Caenorhabditis elegans: one gene and its partner. The protein of the gene in region 1 purifies or fractionates together with the protein of each later gene. This does not show direct contact. Each region holds a gene or a part of one and is shown on either strand. Other genes may lie near its edges.

Region 1 (6,109 bases):
AAAAATTACAAAGGCGAAAAAAACAAATTCTATTCAAAATTTAGAAGTAACCAGATTTATTTATTTTCTTGAAAACTTCAATTATTCTATTTCGCGGCCACGTGGCAACCAAAATTGTCAGAAAATAAAATGATTACCAAGGTTTAATTCAAAGATTTGATGAGAAATCAATTTCCAGATGAGCCTGGTGTGTCTGGAGAATGTATTGCGTGGGTGTTGGATGATAATTTGGATGGTTGGCAAGCAATCAGTTGTTATTATTCACAATTCTTCATGTGCCAGAGACCGGCAGAAGGGTATTTTTTTGTTAATTGCGGACAGATTCGCGCCTTTAAAGATTACTGTAGTTTCTTACTTTCGTTTTTGTGAAATTTTTATCGATCTTTCATATTTTTTCGATATTTAAAAATAACAATAAAACCTCTATGCAGTTCGGCAAAGTAGGGATAAAAACTACATAATCGATGAATATTTCTAATAAATGATAGTTTGAAGTTACAGTACCATTTAAAGGCGCACATCTTTTTCTCGTGGAGTTCACGAGCATCGTACATTCACACAATTCTAAATATAATTATTCGAACCAAATGAACATAAAAATCCAAATCTAAAATTTAAAAAAAAGTTCAGGATAATAACCACGTGGCACAGAGACGAAGAGGGCACAATCGTCAGTCCAAATTGGCCAAATTCGTATGAAAATCTGGAATATGATACACACATTATAAAGTCAGAGCCTGGAACAAGAATATTAATGTATTTTGAAGAAGTGGATACAGAACATAATTGTGATATTATTACCGTAACTGATGATTACGGTATTTCTGGAAGAACACTTTTCCGTCTTTCTGGTTCACATCGTAATCACTCAGTTATCAGTAATCGAAATCATGTTATGATTAATTTCAAGTCTGATGAGGATAATATTGGAAAAGGTTTCGTTATGAGATACAAGATACTGTAGGTTTATACACTTTTCATTAGTTTTATTAATTTTTTACTTTAGGTTTTCAAAAAAAAGTTTTTTCTTCTTTTTCTGCTATTTTCAGAAAATTAAATTTTTTTTGTTTTTTTTTCAGAAAACTGAAAATACTCGATTTCCCAAAAAGGAACATCTTTTTTAAAGTTCCGTTTTCCGTTTTCTTCAGAAAAATTTCAATATAAAGAAAACATTTCAATTTTTTTTAATGTTCAGATATTACTAAAAAAAAACACACACACACAAAATTCTGAGAATACGTATTGCGCAACATATTTGAAATATCTCGTAGCGAAACCTACAGTAATTTTTTAAATGTCTACTGTAGCGCTTGTGTCGATTTACGAGCTCAAATGGATTAAAACACATTTATTTATCGAAAAAGTATTGAAATTAAGTTAATAATTAGAAAATAATGCGAAGAAACGAATGAGCCCGTAAATCGACACACAAGCGCTACAGTATACTATAGTCATTTAAAGAATCACTGTAGTTTTCGTGACGAGATATTTTACGCGTCAAATATGTTGTGCAATACGCATTCTCAGAATTCTGTGTTCATGTAATAAAGTCGATGGTTTTAGAAATTTTCGAATTTTTTTTCAAATCCAGTTCAAAAAATTCGATTTTGAATTTTATCCGAAAATCTTCAATTTCCAGACGTCCACTTCCTGTGAAAGTGTTCTCATCGAACTCTTTTGGCACAGTTACATCGAACAATTATCCAAATTCTCCGGATTCCTTCCTCATCCAATACTATCTCATTCAATGTCCAATTGCTCATCACGTGGCACTGAAATTGAAGGCGATGCAGCTGGATAAATCCGATCGAGTCAAGATATTTAATGGAAACGATGAAACCGCGGGAAAGTTGAAAATGTGAGTGACTTTGATTGAAATTGTAATTTTAAAGAATTAAAAAGTGATTATAGATTCCGTCAATTCTCTCCAAGCTCTGTGGATCTCATAAAAACTACGCAGAACTCGATGTTCATCTCTTATGACACCGGAGAGCAGTTCAATGCATCTAACCACTGGGCCTTTGAATACAATTGTATTCCGGATGGGAACCTGGGAGACGAAATAATTATCTAACCTGACTGGATTGTACATGTACAGAGCAATAAATCTTAATTTAAATAAATATTACAGTATACAACTACCATGATATGCGATATCAATAAAAGGGAAAACAATAGCTTGAATTCTGGGGAAGAGAGATCACAATGAAAACACATTACGAATAAATAGGGGATACTGGGAGAGAGAGGTTATCTAAGCATTGGAAGTAGAGCTTCCAGACGTGGATGCAACGATTTCATCTTCATCCTCAACAGTGTTGGTTGGCTTGTCTTCTTCTGTGGAGATTTTGGCGAATAGATTCTTGAAGCGCTTCTTGTCACGCTCGTTTTGCTCGCGGATCGTGTTACGGCAGACGATGATTTGTTGAGCGGCGGCCTGAATTAATATATTACAAATTATAAACTCAACAGATTTCCTGCAAACCTTATTCTCCGGCTCTACTTCCACAATCTTCTCGAACAACTTCATGGCATCTCGGACTTCGTTCATGGTCAAGAGGGCAGTTGCTTTGCGATACAGTGCCTTGACGTTTCCTGGTTTCGTTTCCAGGACCTTATCGCACCACTTGATGCACTCCAATTGCTCGTTTTGCTTCGAACAAACCAGACTCAAATTAAGATACGCTCCGTTCAAAATTGTCTCTCTTTCGGCCATCTTCTCGGGATCAGTTGACTTTTCATACTCCAACACTTCCTCGGCCCGCTTGTACTTGTTGTAGGCCAATTTGAGATTTCCCTTCTGCAAGTACATGGTTCCACGATCTTTGGCTTGTTTCGCAGCATCAAGCTTCTCCTCTGCAGTCATTTCCCAAGTCGCTGGAACTTTTTCGAACTCCTTCAGGAAAATTGTGAATTCAAGAGTAGCATTGACTGGAATATTTGATCCAGCAGGTGGAGAGTTTCCGTAGGTGTACTTATGACCGCGAATTTCAATTTTTGACTTTTCTCCAAGCTGGAAACGACGCAAAGCCCGCTCGACACCTTCCGGAAGGCCTTCTTCCGAACCTTCTCCGATGTGGAAGTTCACTTCACGATTGTAGAACTCCGTGCCTTGATAGGTTCCGACGCAATGTGCCAAAACCTTGCTGGTGTCATTTGGGAAAGAGTTTTTGGATCCTTCGACGATAATCGTTCTAAGAATCGTCCCATCCCTGTCCGGAGAGATATCCTCGGCGCTCCATTCAAAAAGCTCCACTTCGAAGATCAGCGTTGCCCCTCCTGGAATCTTCGGTGGTGATCCCGCGTCTCCATATCCATAATCCGAGCGAATTGTGAATTCCGCCACCTCGCCTTTGGTCATTGTGGCAACACCGAGATCCCAACCTGGAAATTGATGATTTTCTACACGCTAACATTACTCTGAATACCTTTAATCACATTTCCTCTTCCCAAATTGAATGAGAATTGATCACCGCGATCTCTGGATGAATCGAATTTGGTTCCATTCTCAAGAGTTCCGACGTAATGCACCTTCACGGTCGTTCCAGTGGTTGGCTTGACAACTCCTTGACCCTCCTTCTTGATGAGTTTCAACACTCCACCGTCCTTCTTTGGGGTGATATCGATCTTTTCGCCGGACATCTTGCGAATCTCGCTAATTTACCTGAAAATATTAAAATAAAGTTATTGAAATCTGAACCAGGGCTGTGCGGCGCTTTTTCCAGAAAACGCACAAAACTGCTTATTTCAAAATTAATGTAGAAATGTAGAAAAAGCTTTGTTCTATCTGAAAATAACATTTACTTTTGTTGAAAAGCTACAAAAAGACACATTCAAGCACTATTTGAAGCGTTTTTGAAGGCTTTTTTGAAGGCCATTTTAAGCTGGAACAAATATTTTTCTACATCTCTACATTAACTTTGGATAAGCCGTTTTGTGTGTTCGTCGCGCAGCCCTGATCTGAACAATGACGGTAGGCGAACATCAATAAGAGAACGCAGCAGAAAAAAGTAAATTCGAATGAGATTAACGTAAAATTACTTCATATAACTTGAAAATCACGTAAAGTGAGCTCTAGAACATTCCAATTCTTTGCGCGTCATTTAGAGCGCCAAGTACGCAACTCACTTGCGCGTGTTTGCACAGAAAACGCCGTTTGCCATTGTTGACCGTACCCCAAAATGTTCGATTTTTCGAGGCACATCGATTTCCTTGGAATTTTTCATGTTTCTTAACGTTTTTCAGTCGAAAATTGTATGAAAACTCAATTTTCAGTAATAAAACCTCTGTGAGTGATGGAGAACGCCGACGAGTACGATCACTTGGCGCCGAAACTACGCGGGAAGAAGGAGGGGTTGGTTTCTATTGATTTTTCGACTTTAAAGTTTGTAAATTACAATTTTTCAGCACGTTCGCCTATTACACTGTAAGAGACCGATGGCCGAAGATTGTTACTGGGCTAGTCGATCAATTGGCTCAAAAAAGAGCGAGCCTTATTGAGAAATATGGCAGTGTTCGTAAATATATTGAATTAAAATCAAATTATAATTGTATTTTCTTTCAGGAAGTTGAATCAGATATTGCAGCTATTTTAGAAGTTTTTTCAAAGCTTCGATATGAAATCATGACTGACAAGCCACTTTGCAATCTAATGGACACCCAGTTGGATTCTGAAATGTGGAGAAATTTGCTCAGCGACATGAGAACTGCTGCAATGGTAAATAATTCTCTTGAATTCAATTAATTAATGATTTTTTCAGCCCGACGAAGTTGAAGATCTCACTTTTTTCAAAGGACCATGGCTTTTTGTTGAGTGCTGGCTCTACAGATTCATCTGGAGCACGTTTGCAAAAACTATTCGCCTCAGCGAATATGATTATTTCCAGGACTCGAAGCGCAAAAATTTCCTAGATCAGTAAGAATTTTTTCTGTGGCAATTCGATTGTTTAGAAGAAAAATTGGTTTTTATCAGTAATCCAAAACTATAGGAGTACTCTGATTCAGTGGTGGGCGGCAATTACCGTTCGGCAAATCAGCAAATTGCCGGTTTGCCAGAAATTTTAATGTTTGTCAAATTGCACATTTGCCGCAAATTTTCAATTCCGACAAATGTCGGTTTGCCGATTTGCCGGAAATTCTCTTTTCCGGCAATTTGCCGGCTTGTCGATTTGCCGAAAATGCTCAGAGAGATTTTTTATAAGACGGAAACACTTAAAACTGTGCCTTTATATAATTTTTTCCGTTTTCTTCAGCTATTTTTATAGAATTTGTTTACTTTTCACAATAGATCTATGAACATTCATAGGATGCGTACAATTTGCCCAAAATTTTCGGCAATCTGCCGGTTTGCCCATTTGCCGGAAATTTTCAATTTCGAAATTTTCAATAATAAATGCATTTCTATCAAAAAGCATTAAAAAAATCGATCAAAATTAGACAGGAAAAAATGTTTGAAATTACAGTACTTTTTAAAGGCGCACACTTTTGTTTGCAATAACAAAAAGTATTTTTGGTGGAAAAAATCACAAAATTTATTTTCTCATCGAAAAGTTGAAAATAATCATTTCAGCCTCCCACAAATCGAAGAGTCGGCGGCATTTATCAATAAAATCTCAGCGAAAGATGCTCCAGTTCATGAACTATTCGGAATCAACACAATACTGAAAATGAGCTTGTGGGGAAACCGAGCTGATATGTCATTGACTGGTGGAGACGATCATACCTTGGTAAATTATTATGCGGAACAGTTTGAAACCAGGGGTGTGCGGCTAATAACTGATTTAGCCGAATTTACCGATTGGCTGATTTGGCTAATATTAGCCGAATGATCTGCTTGCCGAGTTTTTTACCAATTAGCCGAATTCGCGGACTTTTTGGCAGTTTGGCTAATTTAAAGTTTTCCGGTAGCCGACTTTGGCTGATGTTAGCCAACACATTTTTTTGGAAAACAAAATTTTTTGAATTTATATGAGTTTTTTTCTATTTGATTTTTTTTGGTTTTGCTCAATAACAGTGAAAAAATTAACCCAAAACCTGAATTGACAGAAAGAACGAAAAAAAGCTTAACCATATGAATATTTTCTGAAATTGCCGAATTATCCGTTAGCCG
Region 2 (5,644 bases), 9.3 Mb from region 1:
CATTCTTCCCTTGACAGTGACTTGTGATAAATCAATTGATGATTTTGTGATCAAAGTTGGAGAAATTGTTGGATCGGAGGGTCTCAATTTGCTTGTTAATAATGCAGGGATAATCACCAAATACAATAACAAATCGGTTCGTTAATTATTGGTTGAGATGATTAAACTTTTAATATTTTCAGGAGCCAAACCGTTCATTGATTGCCAATCAACTTGATGTCAACACTACAAGTGTAGTTTAAAAAAAAACATCAACTTTCCCTCCAGATGTGCTAGCATACAGAATGAGCAAGGCTGCAGTTAATATGTTTGGTAGAACATTGGCAATTGATCTGAAAGATGATCATATTTTGGTGGTCAACTTCTGTCCAGGATGGGTTCAAACTGGATTAGGAGGACCACTGGCTACCTACACTGTAAGTGATTCTTACACTTTAGCTCTTAATTTTCACAAATTTTGCTTTTAGGTTGAAGAATCAACAACAGAGTTAACTGCCAGTTTCTACAAACTAAACAACTCTCACAGTGGAAGATACTTTGACAGAAACCTCAATCCACACTCATTCTAAAAACATTGAGAGTTTTCTGTTTCTCAAACAGTCATAAAGTTATGTCATTTTTTTCATGATTCAAGACTTTTCAATCAGTCTCAATAAACGGATGACATTTTGTTTGTTTCCAGTTATCACTCTACACTTTTTTCTTTTTTCGGAAAATCAATGTCATCTATTTTCTGACCTTCGATCGCTGAGAATAAGTGTTTCGCGAGAAGATGCAAACTGTTTGTGTTTTAACGTGGAGATTTTTTTTGAACTATTTTTCCCGTGAGCTTTTATGTGGTGAATTTTGTTCCACGTTAACATGTCTTGTTATATTCCTTTCGATTAGTCTGATTTTTCGTCCTCAGTCATGTCTCCAAAAAGTGTTGTCATTACTGGAGCAAATCGTGGAATCGGACTTGGACTTGTTCAAGAATTCGTGAAAGATAAGAATATTCGTCATATTATTGCAACTGCTAGAGATGTTGAGAAAGCAACAGTAAGTTAATTTTTTTTTCAATGTCTGATATTTCGGGCACAAAAAACGTTTCAGGATTTGAAAGCAATTAGTGATCCTCGTGTTACTGCTCTCCAATTGGAAGTTACTTGTGATAAATCAATGGATACTTTTGTCTCAAAAGTTGAAGAAATTGTTGGATCTGATGGACTTAACCTGCTTGTCAATAATGCGGGAAACGCGGTGGATTATCCATGTAAAGCGGTATGTTTAAAAAAAGTTCGGGTACAAGATTAAATTAGGAAATGGATTAGTTGACTATTTCCAAAGCTCACTAACAGTGAAGATTTGTCAACGTGTTGTCCAATTTTTTCTGAAAGTTTTCAAACACAATCAATTTTACATTATTCGGGTGATAGTCGGGGAAGAAATACACAGATATAATTTATCCATTAAAATATCAAATTTTCAGAAACCAAACCGTGCACTGTTTGCCGAGCAGCTGAATGTGAACACGACCAGTGTGGTTATTCTCACTCAAAAACTGATGCCACTTCTCATCAAGGCATCCTCAAAAGTGTCTGGAGATCAACTTTCCGCTTCACGTGCTGCTGTAGTCACTATCTCATCTGGACTTGCATCAATGACTGATTTTGCCACAGGAGGCCATGCTCCAAATGCATTTGCTTACAGAATTAGCAAAGCTGCCATTAATATGTTTGGTAGAGCTCTTGCAAATGATATGAAAGATGATCATATTCTGGTAGCCAGTATTGGTCCTGGATGGGTGAAGACTGATATGGGAGGAGAGAAGGCCCTTTTGACGGTGAGCTTAGAAAGTTTTAAAATATAAATTAAATTAATTTCCAGGTTGAACAATCAACTGCCGAACTAGTGGCCAGCTTCAACAAGCTCAACAATTCTCACAATGGAGGATTCTTCCAAAAAGATCTCACACCGTATCCTTTTTAAGTGCATTTCTCGAAATACTCGTTTTCAAATAGGTTTTTCTCAATTCCAAAAAAATTAAATCCAAAACCACAAAATTTTGTGACCACTTTTTGTGACGAAAGATCAATTTGATTCAAAGCGTCCAATTGTTTAGTTTATTTCTATTGTAGATTCAATAAAAGTTTATGTAGTTTTTCTTGTATTTCAAAACATGTTTATTTTATTTTCTAAATATCGGCATATTTATTTGTTTTTCTAAATATAAATGTCTTCGTATTTACTTCAATACGGTGTAACTACAATGTCACTACGATGCCCGCGTCTCTCCAGCTGTCGCTATTTAGTCATCTATTTTACTCCAATGTCATCATTTTCGCTGTGGTCTCCTACATTTTGACCCTGGTGTTCTCCGTATATAAGAGACTTTTCTATATAGAAAAACAGATTTTGTGTCTTCAAATATCTCAAGCTTGTTTCTGCTTTTTTAATCATGGAAACAATAGTTTTGTTCTCAAATTATTCACTTTTACAGAAAATTTAAAAAAATGTCGCCAGGAAGTGTTGTTGTGACCGGAGCCAACCGTGGTATTGGACTTGGACTTGTCCAGCAACTCGTCAAAGATAAGAACATTCGTCATATTATTGCAACTGCTAGAGACGTTGAGAAGGCTACTGTAAGTTTTTTTTTCTACAAGTGAGCTAGTCATCCCAAAGTGTTTTTTTAGGAATTGAAATCTATTAAAGATTCACGTGTTCATGTACTTCCATTGACAGTCACTTGTGATAAATCACTTGACACTTTTGTGTCGAAAGTTGGAGAAATTGTTGGATCTGATGGGCTCAGCTTGCTGATAAATAACGCTGGAGTTCTGCTGAGCTACGGAACGAATACGGTACGTTATGATAGTTACATGTTATTTTTTCTTTGATTGTTTTTAAAAGTTGTTCAGTATTTGATTATTAACTAAAAAATAAGAATTTCGATTTCATTCAAAAGTATATTTCATTAGACATTTATGCATCTTATAATAATTATTAATATGGCCAATTTTGAAGGAGCCTAACCGTGCCGTCATCGCCGAACAACTAGATGTAAATACGACTAGTGTGGTCCTTCTCACTCAAAAGTTATTACCACTGCTCAAAAATGCAGCATCCAAAGAATCTGGAGATCAACTTTCCGTTTCACGTGCTGCTGTAATCACTATCTCATCTGGACTTGGTTCCATCACTGACAACACATCTGGATCTGCACAATTCCCAGTTCTCGCCTACAGAATGAGCAAAGCTGCTATCAATATGTTCGGAAGAACTCTTGCTGTTGACTTGAAGGATGATAATGTGTTGGTTGTTAACTTCTGTCCAGGATGGGTGCAAACCAATTTAGGAGGGAAGAATGCAGCACTCACGGTAAGTAAACGAATCGATTAATTATCAGTTTAGAAATTGTTATTCCGATCATTTTTCAGGTTGAACAATCCACCGCCGAGCTGATTTCCAGTTTCAATAAGCTTGACAACTCTCACAATGGAAGATTCTTTATGAGAAATTTGAAGCCATATGAATTCTAAAATCTTTTTATTTTTTTCCCACCTTTTTTGCATCGGAAGTTAATTGAAAATAAACAAACTAAAATTACCTTTTGTCGTTGTCGAAAACCAGTTTCTTACTATGGTAAATTGCCATGAAAACTATTTTCATCAATTTTCAATGTTTGTGTGCAATTTACAATTGGAAAATGAACTAGGAAAGCCATTTCAATAATTTTTTGTGGGAAGTGTTTGTTTCCTTTTGACTACAAACGAACTACAGATTTTGTTTCATTTTCTGTGCCTCTTCCTCTATTTCTATTTACTTTGTTGCTCGTCTATGCCATTTTTTGAGACTTTCTGTTGCCTCTTCCTTTCCGATCTTTGACCAATTTTGTATACAAGTTCAATTAGTTCTCCCCAAAGACAGTCTGATTAATTAAATTCAGGTATTCAGGTTCATTATGTCTCCAAAAAGTGTTGTCATTACTGGAGCAAATCGTGGAATCGGACTTGGACTTGTTCAAGAATTCGTGAAAGATAAGAATATTCTTCATATTATTGCAACTGTTAGAGATGTTGAAAAGGCTACTGTAAGTGATTATTACATTTTGAGCTAAATATTATTCTCAATATTCAGGATTTAAAAGCTATCAATGATCCACATGTTCATGTTCTTCCATTGATAGTAACTTGTGATAAATCAATTGATTCTTTTGTGACAAAAGTTGAAGAAATAGTTGGATCTGATGGACTCAATTTACTTGTCAACAACGCGGGAATTGCTGTCAAATATCTCACAAAAACTGTACGTTTTGAAAATGTATGACATTCTTCAGTTATCCTTTGTCCTACTCAGAAACCAAACCGTTCAATGATTGCTGAGCAACTAGATGTCAACACAACAAGTGTTGTGATACTAACTCAAAAACTATTACCACTTTTAACAAGAGCTGCATCCAAAGTTTCTGGAGATCAACTTTCCGTTTCACGTGCTGCTGTAATCACTATCTCATCTGGACTCGGATCAATTACTGAAAACACTACAGGATCAGCAGTATTCGATAGTTTGGCATACAGAATGAGTAAGGCTGCAGTTAATATGTTTGGTAGGACTTTGGCAATTGATCTGCAAGATGATCACATTTTGGTGGTTAACTTTTGTCCAGGATGGGTTCAAACTGATATGGGAGGGCAAGAAGCGATGCTCACTGTGAGTGAGGTTTTTTTTAGTCTGACACTTATCGAACTAATTTTCAGGTAGAGCAGTCCACTTCTGAACTAGTTTCCAGTTTCAATAAGCTGGACAACTCTCACAATGGACGATATTTCCAGAGAAATCTAACACCATTCCAATTTTGAATCAAAAGTTCAAAACTGAGAAAATTAATTTCTACCGAATGTTTCCAATTAATATTGCTCCTTCTCCCCATCATTTTCGGTATTTTGATTTAACTGTAATTGATTTCAGAATAAAATGTATCTTAACATTTTTCATTAATATGCAACTTATAACAATGTTAAAAAATAAATTTGAAAAAATATTGAACAGAAATACCATAAGCTTGTGTAAGATCAAAAACACAAAAAACATTTTTCTGCGTCTCTAGTTGTTTGTTATGTGTCTTGCAAATATTTCTGTCTATCTTCATCGTCTTATGTTTTGCGTGTTGACATTTCGAGACCCTTTATTTTTAAAATTTTTACGTGGGTCATTGATTTTAAAGTAATTAATTAGGAATATAACGAAACAATTTCATTTTTAGTTACGCTATGTCCCCAGGAAGTGTTGTTGTCACTGGAGCCAATCGTGGAATTGGTCTTGGACTTGTCAAACAATTTGTCAAAGATAAGAATATTCGTCATATTATTGCAACTGCAAGAGACGTTGAAAAGGCTACTGTAAGCTTGAAAACTCAGTTTTATAATTGTATGTGTTTTTCCAAAAATCAGGATTTGAAATCTATCAATGATCCACGTCTGCATGTTATCCCATTGGCACTTACATGTGATAAATCAATGGACAAATTTGTATCAAAAGTTGGTGATATCGTTGGATCGGATGGACTCAATTTACTTGTCAATAATGCGGGAAGTGCTGTGAAATATTCAACCAAAGCAGTAAGTCCTAAGGTTTCATGAGGTTTAAGAAAGCATGTTTTTCTAAA

The links. Proteins that work in one complex are often made in the same cells at the same time.
Region 2: the proteins of fkb-6 (region 1) and sdz-8 fractionate together in Caenorhabditis elegans (co-fractionation; one large-scale study listed by BioGRID). This does not show direct contact.

The regions. Positions count from the first base shown.
Region 1 is NC_003283.11:20,843,713-20,849,821, reverse strand, and holds fkb-6 (peptidylprolyl isomerase), read right to left. Parts: upstream 3,665-6,109; 5' UTR 3,643-3,664; coding exon 3,429-3,642; intron 3,385-3,428; coding exon 2,486-3,384; intron 2,438-2,485; coding exon 2,255-2,437; 3' UTR 2,095-2,254; downstream 1-2,094. Other genes in the region: clec-264 (C-type lectin domain-containing protein), read left to right, coding at 179-296, 631-960, 1,640-1,858, 1,912-2,074; F31D4.2 (Sugar phosphate phosphatase), read left to right, coding at 4,296-4,354, 4,408-4,513, 4,565-4,717, 4,761-4,915, 5,570-5,726.
Region 2 is NC_003283.11:11,513,027-11,518,670, reverse strand, and holds sdz-8 (C-factor), read left to right. Parts: upstream 1-2,479; 5' UTR 2,480-2,492; coding exon 2,493-2,621; intron 2,622-2,672; coding exon 2,673-2,840; intron 2,841-3,003; coding exon 3,004-3,357; intron 3,358-3,416; coding exon 3,417-3,518; 3' UTR 3,519-3,585; downstream 3,586-5,644. Other genes in the region: C55A6.4 (DeHydrogenases, Short chain), read left to right, coding at 910-1,038, 1,093-1,260, 1,469-1,822, 1,867-1,968; C55A6.6 (DeHydrogenases, Short chain), read left to right, coding at 3,941-4,069, 4,117-4,284, 4,336-4,689, 4,737-4,838; C55A6.3 (DeHydrogenases, Short chain), read left to right, coding at 5,250-5,378, 5,430-5,597.